Tamandua tetradactyla: one gene and its partner. The protein of the gene in region 1 purifies or fractionates together with the protein of each later gene. This does not show direct contact. Links are inferred from orthologs where the notes say so. Each region holds a gene or a part of one and is shown in the gene's direction. Other genes may lie near its edges.

The links. The genes of interacting proteins can lie anywhere in the genome.
Region 2: the proteins of OTUD5 (region 1) and KHDRBS1 purify together in Homo sapiens (affinity purification with mass spectrometry, with the first as the bait; 3 studies listed by BioGRID). This does not show direct contact. The link is inferred for Tamandua tetradactyla from reciprocal best matches to the Homo sapiens genes OTUD5 and KHDRBS1.

What each region holds. Positions count from the first base shown.
Region 1 is NC_135353.1:121,201,442-121,211,741, forward strand, and holds the start of OTUD5 (OTU domain-containing protein 5), read left to right. Parts: upstream 1-4,928; 5' UTR 4,929-5,332; exon of another isoform or gene 5,333-5,513; 5' UTR 5,514-5,790; coding exon 5,791-6,384; intron 6,385-10,300. Other genes in the region: A-type voltage-gated potassium channel KCND1, read left to right, coding at 1,081-1,306. UniProt on the Homo sapiens protein: Deubiquitinating enzyme that functions as a negative regulator of the innate immune system. Has peptidase activity towards 'Lys-48'- and 'Lys-63'-linked polyubiquitin chains. Can also cleave 'Lys-11'-linked ubiquitin chains (in vitro).
Region 2 is NC_135328.1:193,831,120-193,842,288, reverse strand, and holds the start of KHDRBS1 (KH domain-containing, RNA-binding, signal transduction-associated protein 1), read left to right. Parts: upstream 1-5,811; 5' UTR 5,812-5,973; coding exon 5,974-6,355; intron 6,356-11,169. UniProt on the Homo sapiens protein: Recruited and tyrosine phosphorylated by several receptor systems, for example the T-cell, leptin and insulin receptors. Once phosphorylated, functions as an adapter protein in signal transduction cascades by binding to SH2 and SH3 domain-containing proteins.

The sequences.
Region 1 (10,300 bases):
GAAGCAGTGAACAGAACAGACAGAAAACCCTGTCCTTCTGGACCTTATATTCTAGCAGGATGAGACAGTTAATGAACAAACACATATGCAGATTGTGTAGCATGTTAAACATTTGTAAACATCGAGGAGAAAAATAAATCAGGCTGGAGTGATAGAGTGGAGACCAGGGGCTAATGCAGTTTCAGCAGTGTAGTCAGGAAGGGTTTACTGAGGTGATGTCTGAGCCAAAACTTGAAGGAGTTAAGGGAGTGAGCCAGGGAGATATCTAGAGGAAGAGCTTTATAGGCAAGGGGAACAGCCTGTGCAGAGGCTCTGAGGCAGGACTGTGTCTGTATGTTAGAGACACAGCTTCCTACTGTGGTTGGAGTGGAGTGAACAATGGGGAGTGTGGTAGGAGTCAAAATCAGAAAGGAACGCAGAGGGGGGCAGATTATGCAATACCTACTGTAGGCTATTGTCAAGACTTGGGTGTTATTATGAGCAAGCATAATAAGTGACTTTTTTTTTGCTCTTAGTAAGAGGTTGTAAAATTTTATTTTTTTAGATAAGTCAAAGGTTTACCGAATAATCATGCATAAAATACGTACAATACCAAGTTCCCATATACCATGGTATTATTGAGACTTTGCCTTCATGTGGTATTTTTGCTATAATTCCTGAAAGAACATTTTTATCATCGTACTATTACCTATGGTCCATCGTTCACAACAGATGATATTTGTGTGTGTGTGCTCATTATGTTCCCAGGCCCTGTTCTGAGCACTTTATATCATTCGTTATCTCATCTACTCTCCGTAACAACCCTAGGAGGTAGGAAATATCATTATTCTTTTGTTACAGATGAGAGGAAAGAGAGGCTTGGAGTGGTTAAAGTGGAACCGGGATTTGAATCCAAGACTATCTGACTCTGGAGCCCGTACTCTCTACTACCATGATTGAGGATATAGGGGAAGCAGTTAGCACAGTGCCAGGTGCTTGATAAATGCTAGTAGGAGCTCAATAAATGCCATAATTACTGTGGCAATGATTAAGACATGACTTTTTTAAAGAGCCTTCCATCTTCCCCACCCTTGTCCACAGCCGTTCAAGCCTCAATGCCAAGCCCCATGACAGCCTTGACCTGAACTGCGACAGCCGGGACTTCGTGGCTGCCATTATCAGTATCCCTACCCCTCCTGCCAACACCCCAGATGAGAGTCAGCCTTCTTCCCCTGGCGGCGGCGGCAGGGCCAGCAGCACCCTCAGGAACTCCAGCCTGGGTACCCCTTGCCTCCTCTCTGAGACTGTCAAGATCTCTTCCCTGTGAAGGGTGGGCCTACCCAGCCAGAGGGCCCTCTCAACTCTTGGGACCTCCTTTCCAAAGCCATATTTTGAGGAGGCACAGAGGGGTAGGCCTGGGGACCCCTTCTGCCCTCCAGTGAGAACTATGCAATGGAGTTTCATAGAACTGCTCACCTGGTAGGGAAATAACCAGGAAAAAGGAAACTTCTCCCACTCCAGATGATTTTCCTGGTGGGAGCTGAAGAGCTGGGTGTCTGCAGGCCCCCAGCTTCCTTGACCCAGCACTTGGGGACTGGTCCCTCTCCCCTAGCTGGCCCCCCGCATGCCCCTACTCTCAGGCCCTTAGAGGTAGGTAAAGCTCCCATCTGTCATCTTAGCTCTGGTCCCAGTAGGAGAGCTGAGATTTTTTTCTTCTTTCTGGCTGGCCTGTGGAGGTTTGGGTGTTCAGAGAACATAACCTTCACTTCTGATCTGGTTGCTAGGAGAGGTCCCCACTCTCTACCAGGCCCAATGACTCCCAGACCCTGAAGCTTGGAATGCAACCACAGGCTTCCATGGGCTATGGCCTCAGCAGTGACCTGCCATCCCTAGGCCTTGTCTGAGGGGTCAGGTCACCCCTGCCAACACACACAGATAGCACAAACACCTTTTTCCCTGGCTGCTGGAAATGGGTCCCTGCAACCCGTCCTCTGCCGGGCCTCCAGCAAACTCTAGCAATAGCAGCTGCTGCTCTGACATTATGCAAAGCCTCTGCCCAGTTTGCTGCAGCATTTACATTTTCCCTAATCAGAAGGGCCACCTCTAACCATTCCTCCCTTCTCTTCTCTGGTTTGCTTCCTTCCTGGGTTGGGCTGGAGGCTGGACTGACTGAGATAAGAGTCTAGCAGCCAGCAAGTGCTTGGCTGTGTGTGGAGATCTTGGGCTGGAGTCCAGAAGCATAAGGGATCTGAGACCTGGGTTGGTCCTGAACTCTGGGAGTTGTAGGAGGCAAGAGGAACTTCACGATCTCCTCCTCCTCCTCCCCCAAAACTCCTTTTCACATATTCTTCTCTCTTCTCCCTCTTGGGTCACCTTCTGGAACTCTGTGTCTGCTCTCAGGCTGAATTCTGGCATCATCTCAGGTTCCCTGTCCCTAGCACTGTCCCCGTGGAGCTGGTGGCTGACAAAGATGTAGTTTCCATCAGTCAATAAAATCTGAGAGGAGAGATGAGGACTGAGCTCCTCCTGGCTCTGGGGGCTTGGGAGCTGGGTTGGGCTGGCGGGTTAAGAACACTCTGATTTCCATTCCTTTCAACTAGTAGAAGGGCTGGTGTGGTTAAGGTATAGCAGGTGGATGGTTAATGATATGTTCTGGAAGATGGGGATCTAGGAAAATGCCCTGGGACATACCCCTCGGACATTATCTGATTATTCAAGATGGGGAAACTGAGACCCAGGGGAGCACATAGCTGGTTGGAGGAGACTCAAACCCAGGTTTCCTGGTAGCAAGCAGCTCTGAATTTAATCCTAATGAAAAGCATCCCTGAGTTTGGTGCATTCCTTTTCCTCGTGGAGGTCCCCTACATTCTCTCTTTTGGGCTACTGATTATACTAGGTTGGTGTATGACTAGACTCTGTGGAGCAACAAGAAGACAGACCTTGAATTCAGGTTGACCTGGGTTTCAATTCCTGGGTGAGAGAATCACTTACCTTTTCTTGTCTGTCTACTAACCTGTACAATAGAGATAATCACTCATTTGTTCACCAAATATTTATTAAACACATATCACACGTTTATTCTAGGGATGCAAAGATGGGTAAAGTGGACGTTGTCCCTAAACTAGAGAGTTGAACACAGAAGGCAAAGACAATTAAGCAATTACAATATAGTGTGGTAGAAGAAAGGTAGATGGGTTACAAGAGCATAGAGATGGCAGGAGAACCTAACCTTGCCTACACATGAAAAATGAATTGGAGTTAGCCATGCAAAAGGCAAGGGGGCGGAAACGACTTGGGCAGAAGGAACAACATATGCAATGACCTGGAAGTTAAGAGAGCGAGCTCAGGGTATATAGAGAGCTGAAAGTACTTCAGTATGGCTGGGGAAGAGTTAGGCTGTGATGAGGGTGAGGATGTAGAGGTAGGCCAGGTCACAAAAGACCTCTGAAGCTATGATTCAGATTTTGGACTTCATCCTAAGGTTAATGGGAACATCTGTAGGCCTATCCACAGGAGAGTCATGGTGAGGCTCATGTTTCAGAAGGCTGTGAAATGTGGAGTTTTATAGAGCGAGAGTCCTGGAGGCAGGAAGAACAGTGAGGCTTTTCAGTATATAGTTGGGAAGTGATGGTGGTTTGGACCAGAGTAATGGCGGGAAATTCGGAGTCAAGAGATTTTGGAGGGAGAATTGGCAGGTTTGGGTTGACTGGGAGTTGAGGGAGAGGGTAGCAGTCATGGTTAAGTCCCAGTTTTCTGGCTAGGGCAACTGTTGGATGGTGGTGCCATTCACTGTCAAAGGGAACATTAAGGCTGTTAGCCACACAGAGCCAGGAACATAGTAAATACTTAGCAAAGGTTAGCCATGATTATTCTTAAGAGCTCAGTTTTACATGTATAGTGCTGAACAAATATTCAGTAGGAAGTGGGATATGGCTCTGGAGTGAGATAATCTCGAGAAGATTCAGTGTGATAATGTGCATAAGTCATTTGACATAGTGGTCCAGGAAATGTAGGCCCCTAAATGTGTGCCCCTCACTTCCATAAAGTTTCATGAGCAGAAAACACCCCTAGAGCCCGTTTATTACTGGCACCCCTCAGGGAAGAACTTGAACTTGCTAGGCATCTGAAGGGAGAAGATAGGTGGCTTTCAGACGAGATTTCTGATGGTTTCTCTTTCAACCTGTTGTATAGCTTGCCTCCTAAGATTACAAGGACCGCTCACGTTTCAGAACTTTTTGATTCATGAGCCCATCCATCTGAACACCATAATTACTCCCTGAGGTTGTCTAGACAAACATTATCATTCACATTTTGCACGAGTAAACTAAAACAAAACAACAACAAAAACAATACAATGAGTTGCCTAGGGTCACACATTTATTTGGTGATGATCCATCCGGGACTGGGATGGAAATCTTGTCTCCCGAACCTGGGATCCTTCCACTGTACCGCCACGGAAACAAAGTTACTGAGCACTATGTGCCAGGCACAGCACCAATCCCTTTACAAACATCAATCTCTGATCCTCATTTTTAAAAAACCGGAATCATCGTTGGCATTTTAGAGAAGTACAAATTGAAGACGGTGCGTGCGTTAAATGACTTGCCAAGGATCATTCACACAGGCAGGGCAGAGCTAGGATGAGCTTGCTGCTCTCCAGCCGCTCAACAGCAGGGATTTTTTTACCAACCCCATTGTGAGACGCCAGCCAGTGACAGAGTCGGTTTGCAAACATTCACTAGACCCAAGCAAATTCAGTATTTCAGAAAAATGCTGTGCCGCGCCTGCGCTTTAGCTGAAGGGGCGGGGAGGTCAACGCGAGGGCGAGCTTGCCGTAGTGCCCAGAGAGGGCGTGTCTGCTTCCCAAACACCTACCGCTCCCTCGGAGGTTGCGTTTCTGTCCCAAGGTTGGCCCTTCCGACGTGAGTGACGGCGTCTCCTAGCAAACCAGCGCAGAATCCGGCCTGTTGCCAGGGTGAAGCGGCACCCGCCTCTCTGCCTGATGGGTTTTTGCAGGTGGGTGGGACCGGAAAGACGTTGCAGGGGCTGCTTTGCACTGGAAGTGTTGATGTTTTCCAGTCAGTCCGGCTGACTGCGGCCAAGAGTGCGAGCCTGGAGGTGAAGCGTGCTCGTCACTCGGCGCGGCACAGGCCGCACTGGCCTTTCGCAGTACCCACACCTGCAAAGCAGAGCCTCGGGAAGAAAAGCGAAAGGCAGGACGAGGTCAACGGGAAGAAAAGCGGGAAGCAAGGGTGCAGACTTTGAAGTCTCAAGGTGGAGGGCTCGGAGGGCCAACGCTCGCTCCTAATTGGCCCGTGGGCGTCGTTGAGAACCCGCGCAGCTGATCTGATTGGTTGGTGCCCGTAATTGTTGTGGCGGCAGTGGAGATTTTGCCCACGTACTTCCGAGCGAAGGGCGGGCCGGTATCCCGGCGCGCCTGCGTAGCGCCGCCCAGGCCCCACCCGGTAGTTTAAGAACCTGCGAAGGGGGCGGGGCGAAGAGGGCTTGTTTTGGTTCTGTTTCCCTCGAAGCAGAAGGCCGAAACGAGCGTAGCAGTAGACGTGCTGGACTTGGAGAGAAGGCCACGACAAACTCGCAGCGGTGCCTGCATCTTGGACTTCACATCCGATCTCTGCCAGCGTGACTCGGGAGCGACCGACAATTCTCGAACCGGCGTCTCAATCCCTTTATCCGGGTCCCGCCGTTCCCGGCGTGCTTCGCGCACCATCGTAGAACCCCCCCCTTCCCATCCGGGTCCCGTCCCGGCGTGCCGCGCGCCGGGTTTGCTGGGGGGTACTCCGTGGTGCAGCCATGACTATTCTCCCCAAAAAGAAGCCGCCGCCTCCCGACGCCGACCCCACCAACGAGCCGCCGCCGCCTGGGCCGCTGCCCCCGGCGCCGCGCCGCGGCGGGGGTGTGGGCGTGGGCGGCGGCGGCACAGGCGTGGGTGGCGGGGATCGCGACCGTGACTCGGGCGTAGTGGGGGCCCGTCCCCGGGCCTCACCACCACCGCAGGGCCCGTTACCCGGCCCACCGGGTGCACTTCACCGCTGGGCGCTAGCCGTACCGCCTGGCGCTGTGGCGGGTCCCCGGCCGCAGCAGGCCTCTCCGCCTCCGTGCGGGGGTCCTGGCGGTCCCGGCGGCGGTCCCGGCGACGCGTTAGGTGCAGCGGCGGCGGGCGTGGGCGCGGCGGGCGTGGTGGTGGGCGTGGGTGGTACCGTGGGGGTGGGCGGCTGCTGCTCTGGGCCGGGGCATAGCAAGCGGCGGCGTCAAGCCCCTGGGGTTGGCGCGGTTGGCGGGGGCAGCCCCGAGCGAGAGGAGGTCGGCGCAGGCTACAACAGTGAGGACGAGTATGAAGCGGCCGCAGCACGTATTGAGGCCATGGACCCTGCTACTGTCGAGCAGGTAAGGGCTTGGGAGGTGGTGGTGGCGGCGAGTGGTGGGTGGTATGGCTGATGGGATCCTCAGACTGGTTGGGGATCGGAGGAAGGCTCGTTTCAGATCACCTCGAGGGACCTGAGCTTTCTCTCAGGGCCTGGCACCCCTTTTTCTAGGGGTAGTGGCCCGAGACATCACTCCCTTCAGAGGACTCTGGGTTAGAGACCTAGATAAGATGGGGAACTTAAAGATGGGGTCTGAAGCCTCTTCTAGGGTTCATAGTCACTCGGGGCTTTAGGCTCTCAGCTGATAGGGCCAGTAGGTGAGAAACCCTCAGGGGACACTGGCCGGATGAAGAGCCTCCGGAGGAGTGGGAGTGGCTGATCTCAGGCCTCTCTCCAAGGTAACTAGATCTATGTTCCGTGGTTCAAGATCCTCTTTCCCCGGTGATAAAAGCTGGAGACTTCTCCTCCGTGGAACTCAAAGGAGGTGGAGACCTTAGTGATGGAGTCTGAGCATCCCAAAGTATTTAAACCTTTTCAGGATTGTGAGACATTTTGCCTGGGACAACCCTCACCTTCCCTCTTTCCCAGGGAGATACAGTATAGGATTGTTCATTAGTGAGGTCTGAGACATCCTCAAGGGTCCTAAGGTTGCCTTTAGGGACCTGAAACTCCCCTTTTCTAGAATCAACAGCCTGACACACATACATGCATACTCTTTAGAGATGATACAAGGTTTTTTGCCGGGTTATAAGACATCTCTTAGGGAAGTGAGAGCCCCCTCCCCCTTGGGGACAAGTGCCAAAACCTACCCCCAGGGACCAGAATCTCTACTCAGGTACATGAGACTCATCTTTCCTCTGAGTGACAAGGATCTGTGCTTTCCCTTAATGTATTGAGACTACTACTCAGGGAACATGGGCACCATAGTGTTCTCAGGGATGGGGTCTGAGGCCTACCCAGGGATCTAAGCCTGCCTTGAAGGGCCTGAGTTCTCCCATTTTGGGGCCACGGACCTGATACTCACTCTGCCAAGGAGACTTGGAGCTTTCCCTCAGGGACAGGAGACCCACATACATACCACAGTATGGCTGTGTCTCTAAGGATGAGGACTGGACTTCTCCCTCAAGGAACAGGAGTATTCTTTCCACCCCACCCCCTCCCCCAGAATGGAGCTCTGAGATGTTTCCCTTGGGACATGGGATACATGGATGCAGAGGCTTGAGTGTCCCCATCCCCATGGTCCCCCCACTTAAGCATTTGAACTTTCAGATACATAAGATCCTCCCCTCTCAGGACCTGAGACTTGAACCTGTCCTGAGGATACTGTCTGTCACCTCATCTCAGACAACATACACACACCCAGGTCATAGGCACCTTTATGGATATAAGATTTCTTGCCTTGGAGACTTGTGTCTGAGAATCCTCTCCCCACTTGTGAACTGAGTCCTGAGAACTCCCCATTCAACTTGGGGACACCAGGTAGGGTGAGATTCTGAGACACAGGCTCTGAGCCTTTTTCCAGGGGCCTGACCTTCCCCTCAAATTCAAGAGATCTTTCCCCTTTTGAACTGGGGCTGGAGCCTTCTTTGAGTGTGCAGCTCCCTCATCCCTCCCTCACCCCCCCCCACCAGATAATTCATTCTCACCAGGGAAAGGTACCTAAGGTTCTCCCAGCGTGGCCTAAACTTCCTCTATTGAACAGAACAGCCTGAGTGCCCCTTCAGGGTCATAAGAATCCCTTACCCTAAACCCTCTCAAGGTTAGGGCCAGGAAGGTTCCCCTACTTTCTAGGGGATCTGTCCTGGGACATGGAATCTGAGGCCTCCCTTCAGGAACTGGAGGTATTCTGAGTCTGACTCTGACTCAACTATGCTTGCTTCCCACTTCCACAGTCTGGGAAATATTCTAAGCTTCCTGAACTCCTGTATTTGAGAAGCTTTCTTCTTTTCAGGGATAGGGAAAGGGTTTGGGGCCTCCCCACTCCAGGGAAATTCTTTTCCCACATCCCACTCACCCTTGATGCACTTCATAGGGACCAGGGCCTTTTCTTGAACCTTCTGTTCTCATTCTCTTTCCACCCATCATTTGTTGTTTTTTCTCTCCTGAATTGGGGTGAAGTCTGCCTTTCCTCCCCAAAGGAATAGGGAGTGATCCATCCCTGGACCCAGGGAGAGAAAGAAAGAAAGTCCTATGCTGTCATGATGGCTAGAAAAACGCCTCCCTTCACCCCCTTTGCATCTCCTAGTTTGGGAGTCCCTCCCTTCTGCTTTTTCTCATAAGAACAAGGAGATAAAACCCTGTGGGCTCATGAAACTTTCACTTCTCAGTGACAGAGGAGAGGCTTGTACTTGAAGCAGAAGAAAATGCTCCTCTTCTCCCTGCTTCGGCTGGTCTAGCCTTTAGACTTTTTGCTGACTGTAACTCCAGTCTTGGTCCTGAACTGTCACTGGAGGCATTTGTAACCTGGAGATCAATTGAACCCTTTGGAAAGAGGGGAATTGTTGAGGGGGAGCCCAGATAGTGAATCTGGCGCCCCACTCAGGTTTTCTGTTCATCCCAATGCTGTGAACATACATACCCCTGCTTACTTTAGGAGACCTTTTGGTACTTTGGGGTCCAGGTGCTAGGGTGGTGGTGATGTTAGGGATTTCCTTTCCCAGGTATGGCTGCCTTGCTGAGAGTCTTCCCTATAAAAAGAATGGCTTGTAAACGTCCTGAGCTTAAGTACCTCACAGAGCTCTTTGGTGTGTGTGCGTGTGCGTGTGTGCGTGTGTGTGCGCGTGTGTGTGTGCGCGTAGAGCTCTTTGGTGTGTGCACGCGCTGAGGTGGGCTGTTGGTTGAAGAAGCTGGGCCTGGCACTGTAAGCCAGGGCATTTGGTTGACAGCTCTGGCCCTGTTTTGTTTACTTTGCCTGGTAAGCCAGAATAGGCTTTATCTATGCTTTCTGGACCTCAGTTTTTTCATTGATCAGGTAAGAAAGGGGTGCTGGTGAGGTGTTATTTGGCTTTGGAATTTTAGGGAACTCACCTGGAGGTGGCAGAGAATGGTAGGTATCTTTTGAGGAAGTACTGGATTCCTCTCCTCTCTTCCCTGCCCCCTCTTTTCCTTCCCAGCCATCAAGGCTTGGTGGGCAGGACAAGTGGCCTATTGGTACAAAAATCAGGGTTGGCAGACTGATTTTTTTTTTTTTTTTGGTGTGCTGTGGTGACAAGGAGTCTGTTGGATGGTATGGAGGTCAGGTTGTGTGTGGAAAGAGTTTGAGCTTTGGAGCCTGGCAGGCTTGAGTTCAAAGCTGTGTAGTCTTAGCTGCTGCTTTAAGGTTTTAGGCAAACTACTTCCTCTCTCAGCTGCCTTTTCTGCAAAGTCCACTCATGCCTAGGGTTACTGAGTGTGCAAGTACCTGACCTTACTCACCTTGGACCTTGGCTGTTTTTTTCTCTTGTCCAGGATGGGCAGTTTTCCCCCAGGATCATCTTGGTTCATCTGAAGAGCCTTTGTCTACCCATAGTAACCCATTTTTGATAGTAAGGATGCATTATTTGGCACCTAGGAACTTGCAGACTCCTTGTACTCTTTTTACACCTTCTGGAATTGGATAGATAGCTGGTGGAGAGGTAGAGTGGTATAGCAGGAGGTGATCTCTGCCTAGGCAACCTGGGTTTGTGTCCTGTTTCTGCGTTAACCTTTTTTGTGTTGTCTTTAGATAATTCTCTTTTTGGGCCTCAGTTTCTCCATCCATAAAATGGCTAGTGGTGAGGAGGGAGGTTGGACCCACTGATCTAGCGATCCATCCAGCTCTAAAGCAAGTTCTAGTCCCTCCTCAGACTACCTCCAGTGAAAGTTTTAAGTGGGGCCCCCTCTGCTTTGGGGTATATGTTACCTTTTGTGAACATTTTGTGAACTTCTCTGAAGTTTCAAGCAGCATTTGGCCTCTTTCT
Region 2 (11,169 bases), on another chromosome or scaffold:
GAAGCTGACAGAAGTTCAGGTGAAGCATTATGGAACCACAGATGGAGGTACAGGCGATTTAGATAGAGAAATGTGGGTGAGATTTGTATTATGAGGTATAAACAATAGTTCTTTTTTAATGCAAATTTACTGAGATATATTCACATACTATATAATCATCCAAAGTGTACAATCAGTGGTTCACAGTATCATATAGTTGTACATTCACTACCACAATCAACTTTTTAACATTTTCATTACTCTAAAAAAATAAAAATAAAAATAGAAATAAAAAGGAATGCCCACAATATCCCATAGCCCTTCTCAGATCCCTTCCCCCCATATCATTTACTTATTTTTTGTCCTTATTTTTTACTCTTCTATTTGAACTCTGGATAAAGGGAGTGTCAGCCACAAGGTTTTCACAATCACACAGTCACATGTAAAAACTATATAGTTATACAATTGTCTTCAAGAATCAAGGTTACTGGAACACAGTTCAGCAGTTTCAAGAACTTCCCTCTAGCCACTCCAGTAAACCATAAACTAACAAGGGATATCTACATACTGCATAAGAATAACCTCCAGGATAGCCTCTCAACTCTGTTCAAAAGCTCTCAGCCACTGAAACTTTGTTTCATTTCTCTTCCCTATTTTGGTCAAGAAGGCTTTCTCAGTACCATGATGCTGGGAGTCATGTACCATATTGCCAGGAAGATTTACATGCCTGGGAGTCATCTCCCATGTAACAGAGTGGGCAATGAGTTTATCTGCCGCGTTGGCTTAAAGAGGAGGCCACATCTGAGAAACAAAAGAGGTTCTCTGGGGGGGGAGTCTTAGGCCTAATTATAAGGAGGCTTAGTTTCTCCTTTGCAGGAATAAGTTTCATAAGGGTGAGCACCAAGATCGAGGGCTTGACCTGTTAAATTGGTAGTCCCCAATGATTGTGAGAATATCAAGAATTTTCCCGTTGGCAAAGTTTAATATTTCCACATTTCCCCCCAGTCTCTGAAGGTTGCTTTGCAAATTCTGCTTTATTTTCTGCCCAGATTACTCTGGGATATATCAGGGCATGATACTAACCTGTACAAACCAACAAGATCTCAGTCCCTATTCAAGGTTCCAAAAACAATAGTTCTTACTAATACATTGGTGGAGATAGAGCAGTGAGACAATGGGGGAAAATTAAGGACAAGTCCCAGATTTCTGGCTTGTGCAGTGAGTTTTGGAGCAGTTCCCTAAGACAGAGGACGCTGGACAAGGAGCAAGTAAAGGTAGCCAAGAGAATGGGAATTTCATTCTTTTGTACACATTTTATTTTTTGAGTGCCTAGTTGGTGCCAGCCTCTTTCTATACAAAGACAGAAATGGTTCCTGCTCTCAAGCAGCTCACCTTCTTGTTGGGCAATAAATAAAAAAGATAATTATACTTCAAATTCCAAGCAGGCTTCACTGGCCTATGGGTTCAAACAAAGTTTCATGAATATCAGCCATGCAGAATTCCTGCTCTTACTTCTGGAAAGTCCCTTTCAATTGTTTCTGGGATGCTTCAAGGGACTTTTCACATGTTGCTCACAGACAAAGCTGCCTGTGGACTGCAGTGACTACGTCCCTCAGCCCTGCTGTGCTTCCCTCTGCCCCTGCCCACTGCCCCCTACCAAAGGTACCCTCTGTGAGAATACTAAGGGTAACGTCAGGACCACAGGAAGGCAAGCAAGGAGGATGGCCCTGCAAGTGAGTGCTTTCTTAAGTTTTGCTAGCCCTGAAGCTCTCAAGGGGCTGGACCAAGCCCCAGCCCAGGAAGGAGGAGACACTTCCAAACTGGGAGCTATGTTAAGTCACCTGGGCCCAAAAGCAGCACTGCTAGTACCTGCAGCTTGAGTTCTGTTAGAGGGGACAGTTGAGTTTCAAGGGCCTTTGAGACATCCAAATGGACATATGTCCATGATGTAATTGGCTATCAGGATCTGGAACTCATAAGTTTGGGTTGGAGATCTGAATTCCAGAGCCTTAAGTGTGGAGGACACAGTACACAGGCTCAGGGCCAAGCTCTGCTGAAATCCCATCATTTAAATGTCCTGCCCTTGCTCCACCTGGCAACTCCCCAAAGATCCAACTTCCCTAACTCATCCTGGCAGTTGGTCGGTCACTCCTTCCTGTGTGTTCCCACAGCTCTTTGTATATTCTTCTATTACCTAGCTATAGTCAGTGAAAATGATACTGCGTGGTAACTCTTGGCTTATTTATTTGTCTCCTTCACTAAACAGTGAGCTCTTCGAGGACAGGGACTCTCTCTTATTCAATGTTGACTCCCGCCCCTCCCCCCATCCCTTCTCCTCTCCCTCTATATATTTGGCACTCAGTAGGTTTAAGATTAAACAGACAAACTACACTCTTGGAAGAGAAACCCTCCTGCCCAGAGACAGAGCTATTCTCTCCTGGGAACTGGCTGTGATGCAGGGGAAGTAGATGGGGCCTGCTAGACACCCATCCATGGAGGTCACACAGGTCCAGCAACTGCAGGCAAACTTTAATCCTCCAGCCCATCCATTAGGGACTCAAGTGAAAGTGAAAGTCTGCACTAAAGTACTCAATTAATGTGTGTAGTAATAATAACAATGACCGCTATTGCTTATCAAGCACCTACTAATTGACAACCTCTATGCTAAGTGCTTTACAGACACTATCTCTTTTAATCCTAATAGCTCTGAGATAGGTATTGTTATTACCCCTTGTTTTCTGAAGGAGGAGGAAGCAGAGGCTGAGCAAGGTGATGTAACTTGCTCGGTCACCAGCATGCAAAAGGTAGAGGCACAATTCGGACCTAGTTCCGTTTGAATCATGGCATTCTCAGTTGTTCCTGCATATTCCACCACAGTAACTGGGCGGGGAAAAGAAACTTGGTCTTCTTGCTTGGCCTTCCCCTTCCAAAACAAAGCCTAGCTATAGTCAGTGAAAACGATACAGATTACACACTACGCCTTTCAGACCCAGAACCAACATAAAGTACCCAAAAATCTTCATTAGGCACAAACTGTCATAAGAATAATGAGGTGTCAGGAGGTTAACACTGGTGTTGTTGATGTGCACAGGAACCCTGTGAGGCAGATGCCATGCATGACCCTCACGTTACAGGACACAAAGGCTCAGAGAGGTTGTGATTTTCCTAATGACATACAGCATTTTCCTAATGACAAAGCGTCGCTGGATTTCAGTTTGTCTACCTCACTCCAAAGTCAGAGTCTTTTGACTCTTTTGATTCTGATCAACACAAAATGAACTTCAGACCTCTGGGCCTTCAGGACAGGATTACTCTTTCCTAATCCCAGGAAGAGCCCCACAAAAGGAAGACAGCCGCATCACTTGGTAAAAATAAGGACACGGCAGCATCAATAACCTCGTCTCAGATTACCTTTTGTGCTTCTCACCAGAAAAGCATACCCCATCCCACCCTCCAGAGAAGGTAAGGGTTTGGCAGCCACAGGAAAGGCTGTTGATTCTAGTCTGGAAAACCCACAGATAACACACTACCCAGCTTCTTCTCAGACCCTTCTTTATAAAAGTTTTATTAGTTATCTCAAGGTACCTCCATTTGGGCATCTCATTACAGCACAGGGACACTTCAGCCATTTGTAGTCCACCACCCAAGCAGGATTTTCAATGATGGTGGGAGAAATGAGTTACAAGGGAGCTATAATTTCTCCTGGCTCCTTTTCTGCTCCTCCATGCAATAGCTCCCTAGACCCACCTATTCCTTTACAGTACACAATTGGATTACCCCCATTCCTGAATGCATCTCTGGCACTCTCATCTCTGCTCATTTACTCACAATTCTCTTTACCCAGAACTCATCCTCCCCTAGTTGAAATCTATCTTCTCCTACTTTGAACTTCATTAGCACTAAATTTTCACTTATATTTAGCACTTGTTACATTTATATTTTGCATTGCAATTATTCAAAAATGTTCTCTCTTTTTTCTTCTACTTGGCTGTAAACCACCTGAGGACAACGGCCACTTTTTTTTTTTGGAGGGGGGGTGGTGCATGGTCCGAGAATCGAACCTGGGTCTCCTGCATGAAAGGTGGGCATTCTAACCACTGAACTACCCATGCACCCCAAAAGCCACTTCTTATATGACATCAAAGAAAAGTATTGCTCCCGACACTGAAGTTAAAAAAAATATTGGGGCCTAGAGTCTAATGGGGGGGGAGGGTAAGACTGGTAAGATAATTTATGGAGATTTGTGTTTTGTTCTCATTTCTGAAGGTAATTTCTCTCTCCCACCCCCAAGAAGGTAGTCAGGCCTTTATGTTCCCTAGTTGAATGCTTTTACCTCTCATATCCAAAAATCAATAGTTTCCAGGCACCCTGAAAATAATTTCCAGAAACATCTTTGAAAAGGGTAGGCTCATTAGGGGAAATGATCCAAAGGGAAAAGAAATTGAGTGCCGTCAATGGGAGAAGTGAAAATCTGTGGATGGAAGGAAAAGTTAGAGAAATCACCAGATTTTTGAGGGGATATGGGAAAATAAAGACAGGCTCTGCTTGCATATAACACCCCAGGATGAGAATGTTGTGGGATTGATTGTGATAATGGATGCACAACTATAAGATGATACTGTGAACCACTGATTGTACACTTTGAATTATTATACAGTATGTGAATATATCTCAGTAAAATTGCATTTTAAAAACAACAACTCCTATATAAGACAACTGGCCCATTTAGTGGGGGAAAACCTAGGCATTAGATCAAAAAGGAGAAAAATTTGATCTGTTCCATCTAATTAAATTATCATGGAAGAAAAAAAAAAAAAGATGCCGTCGGAGAATGTCCTCTTCGTATCTTGGCCTTCAGAGCAGTGGCAAGGGTTTGTCTCTTTCAGCAAGTATGGAACAATCTATAGTGAGGGGCCCAACGAAGACAAGAGCAATAACACTCAAAACCACTTGGTGTGTATATGTTAGAAACACTTAACCAGCAGGAATCAGTACTATATGTAAGAGCTAAAATGTTTCTTTTAAGAAAACATCTCTGAACAACAGTGGCTAATGTTTCAATGTCTACTATATTGGAAATCACAGGATATGAATTCTCTCGTTTCCTGGATTGGGGCTGGGGTCCTTTTCTTTGCTAGGCCTCCGATCTGTACCTTCACTCTTAATTCAAATCCTCCAGATTTCAAGGTTTCCACAGCGCCGTTCTCCCTCTTTCTGCCTCCAAACCTTCCTTCCCCATTTCCATTCCTCATAGCTGCTCGAGACTTTAACTTATCTTCCCCTCCTCATCCCTGTCTCCTGGTGCCCTACCTCTTCCCCTTTCCCTACTCCAGGCAGCCTCTCTCCCTTCTCTTCCTGCCCAGGCAGCCTCGATTCTCTCTTCTTCGTCTTCACCAGTCCCTCAACCCAGGTCTCCTCTCATTTCCTCCCTTCAGCGAACCCCCTGCACCCCACCCCCACCCCCAAGTCCACCCTATTGAGCGCAGATTAGCCGTTGGAGGGGGCGTAGCCTCGCAAGTAACAGGCCTCCTGCCCCACACTCCGCCCCCCCGCCCGCAGACAAAGACATTCCATAGTCCCCGCCCCCTTCGCTCTGTCGATCTGAAGGGGGAGGAGACACGTGTCCCGCTAGGGTCGAGTCACGTGGCAAAGAAACCTAACGAAGCCCGCGGCGACCTGCGCATGCGCAAAAAGCTTAGGCCTGTCGAACTCGGAGGGAAAAGGGAAATGGGGAGGAGACTTCTTCGAGCGCTGCAGTGGTGCGCAGGCGCCATGGCCCAATTGGGGACTTTGTTCTCCGCGGAGAAACCCAAGGGCGGTGCCGGTGACTGGCTGCGCACGCGCGCCGTCTCATTTCCGGTGCTCTCTTTCGCTGGGTCGCTCGGGTCGGCTTCGGTCGCTGTCGCTCCCGCTCTCCCACCTCCGCCAACCGCCGCTAGGGCCTCTGCTGTTGCCGCGTCGCTTCCTCGATCCTTCGACTACACAGCCTCCCAGATGCAGCGCCGGGACGACCCCGCCGCGCGCATGATCCGGTCCTCGGGCCGCAGTGGCTCCATGGACCCCTCAGGAGCCCACTCCTCAGTGCGTCAGGCACCGTCTCGGCAGCCTCCGCTCTCTCACCGGTCCCGGGGAGGCGGAGGAGGATCCCGGGGAGCCGCCCGGGCCTCGCCCGCCACGCAGCCGCCACCGTTGCTGCCGCCCTCGGCCACGGGTCCCGACGCGACAGTGGGCGGTCCAGCGCCGACCCCTCTGCTGCCCCCTTCAGCTACTGCCTCGGTCAAGATGGAGCCGGAGAACAAGTACCTGCCTGAACTCATGGCCGAGAAGGACTCGCTCGATCCTTCCTTTACTCATGCCATGCAGTTGCTGACGGCAGGTAAGCGGACCGCTCGGGTCCCTCTGGGTCACCCGGCCACCCAGTGGCGTGGGTGGCAGCGGCTTTGTTCCTCTCGCTTCCCGCGCCTCCGGGACCGAGACGGTCGTGGACCCTTCTTCCCCTTTCATCCTCGTCCTCCGTATAGCTGGATTCCAAATTCCTCTCCTTGCTCGGGGTGCGAGGGAGAATTTCTGCGATGGAGGTTCGAAGGCGGCTCGGCGATCTCTTAGCGCAGAGATCTTGATGGATGGTGCTGAGTTCCCCGCCTCTTTCCTAACCCTCCTCCCTCCCACCTCTTGCAGCTGCCCCGCGCTCCAAGTGTTCAGCTTCTTCCAGAAATGAATGTGTATCTCCCGATTCCCCCACGGGGAAAACCTTTTCGATGGCTGGTGGTGGTACGCGTCTCAACTGAGAGCATAGGAAATGAAGACTGAACCCGAGCGAGGAGGGACTGTGGGAGGCCGAGGTGTGGTTCAGGTTGAGGCTGGAGTGCCCTGTCCAGCGCGCCGCCAACGCTAGGGCTGGGTGGGTCTTGGTGGTGACTGAAGATTGAGTTGCCCAGAGGTTGTAGCTAGCGACCAGTGAGGGTCGGAACTTGAGGTTTTCGGAAACAAATCTCCGAGTTAGGTCGATAAAATGATTGTTACAGAGCTGGAAGATTGGTGACCTTAGTTTTACAACGTGTGTTCACTCTCATCATTCAAGAAAGGGAAAAATAGCCCTATAGACAGTGGTATGGGATGATAGAGGAAGGTAAGGGACACCAGGGTGGTTTGCCAAACATTTCCGAAGAAGATGGACAATTATAGATTATTGAGATAAGTTGCGCGATGGTTGTACCTAAAAGGCTTGTGAGTGGTTTTTTTTTTTTCCTTCTTTTTGCTTCAGTAGTGAAATAGAGATTAGGAATGTTAGTCTTTGTTCTCTGTAGACTAGCTCTCCTTTTCTGATCAGCACTGACCAATCCCCTTGTCGCTGTGATTTCTTCCCAAAGCCGGCTGTTTTACCTTAGCTTCTAGTTAAAATATTATTTTAATAGGTATTTCTTACGGTACCTAAATTTTATTAAGCAAGTAAAATTTTACAGCGTTCGACACTGAATGAGTAGTTAGATGATTATAAATGAAATGATCCCTTTGTTCTCTTATCTCCCAACATTGATAAGGGGTCTTTACTTTTAAACACAAAAAGCAAAGCTCCCAGTGGTCAAGAATAAAATATTTGATAAAACTGTTGACGCTTTTCAACTCAGTGCTTTACTGTTCTGAAATTCTTTCGGATTGTTTGGAACATTACTACTATTCCTTGTGTTCTTCTAGCAAGCTCTTTGAGGCCAAGGACTGCTTTTTCTTTTTCTTTTTCACACTGCCTTGCATATTGCAAACACCAAGTGTTTGGTTGAACCTGGTAACATGTACTTGCAGGCTAAGTGGTAAAGGTTGATTTAGTTTAATTTTATTTCCCCAAATCTTTAAATTCAGTCCACCTTAAATGCATCAGAAGAAAATAACAAGCTTTAGAACATTAAGGTGTTGGAACCAGTTTAAAATTCTACCCACAATTAGTTATGTGTTCTTGGGAAGTTTTCTCAGCCTTAATAACCTCATCTGTAAAGTGGGAATGATAAATTACGAGGAGTAAATGATGTGTAAAAGCACTAGCACAGTTTCCTTTGGCCTATAATCATTAAGTAATAAATTGTCATCACACTTGTCTTCTAGTTATAAATCCATGGTACTGAATAAGATATGAAAACTAAAGATATTTTCTGACCTTTTGGAGTGTCCAGTGTGATGTTCATGTTTTAAGTTAAAAAAAAAAAGGTTTCTTAGGATAATCATTTAAAAATACTGATCCTTAAAAGTTAAAATTTTCACCCTCCCCTCACTGCTTAATTTCTGTTATCCAAGAGCATGCTCTTTAATTTTTTTGGTATTGGCTATGCCCTTTTTTTTTTAACCAAATTGAAATTTTTATTTGGAGAAATGGAATTGATGTGATGTTGGCTCAAAGAGAGAACAGAATTGAAATACTGGATACCTCTTAGCATGTATAAGTCTTGATATATGATGGGCCTGACTTTTGTGGTATTTCTGAATGATTTGGAAAAAAAGTTGCAGTGAAGTCACAATCAACTTCAAGAAAATGAGACTGAGGAGACAGTATTTTAGCACTGATGAGGACACATGTTAAGTGCCGGGCACTGGTCTGAGTTCCTTACATTAAATGTTTAATCTTCAGGATCACACTATGAGGAAGTTACTCTTAACCTTATTTTCACAGATGAGGAAACTGAAGCATATAGAGATGAAATAGTTTACCCAAGGAAAGTTAATAAGTAACAGAGCTAGGATTTAAACTTATTCTGAGTTTGGATCCACACACCTACTCCACCACCCCCACCTGCACCAAACTGTACTTAAAAATTAAGCCCTAAACAATTAAAAAAAAGAATTAAGCCCTAATTGGTTAAAATATTAAGATAAATCTATTTGAAAATATCAGACAACTAACATGGTAGTAAAGATGACAAGGCCAAGAAGCAAGAGGAGATGGAAACCCAGGAGAACAGAGCCAAGCACTTGGAACTGCAGTTCTCTCAGGCATCTCTGCCCATTCCCAAAAGGTGTCTTGAAGCCCAGACTACTTGCTACACCCCATCCCAACCCTGACACACACACACACACACACACCTGTCCCTGTCCCATTCCCAACTTTATTTTGCACTTACAGCATCTTGATACATTATATATTATAATTATATATTTGTTTGTTTACCTATCCCTTCTCATTCATGGCTAGATTGTCAGTGCTGTGAGGGCAAGGATTTTTGTCTGTTTTGTTCACTGCTGTATCTCTTATGCCTAGAAGAGTGCTGTACAGTGGCCTTTTACTGAAGAGTTAATGAATGAATGTTCTTCTTCATTATGTGATGGAAAAATAACACAGTTTTGAGGGATGTAGATTTTTTAATATAAACTTGTAAATTAGCCAACTTGTTATTCAGCTGTGATGGCAATTAAATGCAATTGCAAACATAAGGACTCAGAAAGTCAGTAACCCATGCTTGTTTTCTGAAAGAAAAAAATTTATTTGTGTTAACATATTTACAAAGTATAAGATGCTTTTATATACAGTAAGTGTTCTTTTTCTACTTTTTACAATTAGGAAAACATAAGTTAGTATAAATGACTCAGAAATAAACATTTAAACAAATTAACAATCTCCAGACGATTTTAAAAGGAGACTCAGAAGTGCATCCTCCAGAAGCGTGCAGTGGAGAACATTTTACAATCTGTAGACCCGTCAAGATTGTTAATTCCTTTATTTGACTTATGTTATAGAAAGATAGTGAGACCCTAGTTCATTCTACACAGCTAGCAAAACCTCTTATTAAAATTAGAAAGTGGCATTGCAAAGGAACTGTGGGGCAAATGTAGTGTATAAATATTAGAAAAGAGTCAAAGCTTCATTATTGGCAACAGCATCATTGTTCACCTAGGAAAGTGGTCATTAGTGCAGCTGATTACCAGATGAAAATGTATAGATCTATAGGGTTCTAATATACAAGCAATTAGAAAATGAATGGACCAAAGGATCTTGTTAGAATAATATAAAATACCATGGAATAAACAACATTAGCACAAGATGTATGTGAATAATCATAATAATAATATTAGTATAATTTTAATTTTTGTAGAGCATATTACATGGCAGGTAATGTGCTGCTCATTTTATAGTCATTATCTCCATTCTTCTGGTCATTCTATCAACAGGAAGAATTTCTTATCTTAATGTTACAGATAAATATGTAATCACATGGTTACTCAATTTAAAATTTTACTGAAGGTTATGAAGGAATATCTGAATAGAGAAATATGTGATGTCCTTGGTGGCAGAGGGAGGGGGAAGATGACAGTAGATTTAAATTAACTTGTTGATTTTGTACACTTTCCAAACATTTCAACTTGATTCATTTTTTTCTTTCAGTTTGACAAATTGAATATAAGGTAGCTAAAAGAGTAAATAAGGATAAATAAGTAGAAACTTTTTTTGAGATAGGAAAGTAATAATCTAAGTTGACAAAAAATTTTGAAGTCAAACAGTACTTCAGACTTGAGAGAATGTGCAGTAGAAGGAACTCTTAAACCTTACTGGTGGAAGTGTGAATTGATATAACCACTTTGGTAATGGTTTGGCATTTACTCTGACAACTGAACAAATTTTTGAAACTTCACAACCCCATTGCTAATAATGTGCCTAAAGAAACTTTTGTATATGAACACATCATTCATAAAATGATGCACCTAGTTCACGAAATGGTGCAACTTGTTCACCATTGATTGTATACTGTGATATATTCACAAACTGAAATGAATGAACTACAGCTACATGCAACAAGGAGAAATGTTGGAAATCTAATGTTGAGTGAAAAAGTCATTCCCAGAGGACTATATATAGTACAATACTATTTTTATAGAACACAAATACTAGCAAGGTTAATCAAAATATTGTTAAACATATATCTATGATAAAGCAGTTTCTTACCAGACTAAACCGGTGCTTACCATATTGCTCAGTAGTTCCACTCTTAGGCATTTGTTGCAGAGAAATTAAAACTCATATTCCCTCAAAACTTGTACACAGACGTTCATATCGGCTTTATTCAGAATAGCCAGAAACTGAGAACAAACCAAATGCCTCCAGAAGGTGAATAAACACACTGTGGTACATCCATACCTTGGAATACTACTCAGCACTAAAAAGACATGAACTCTTGATAAACCCAACAACTGGGAGGGATCTCAAAAGAT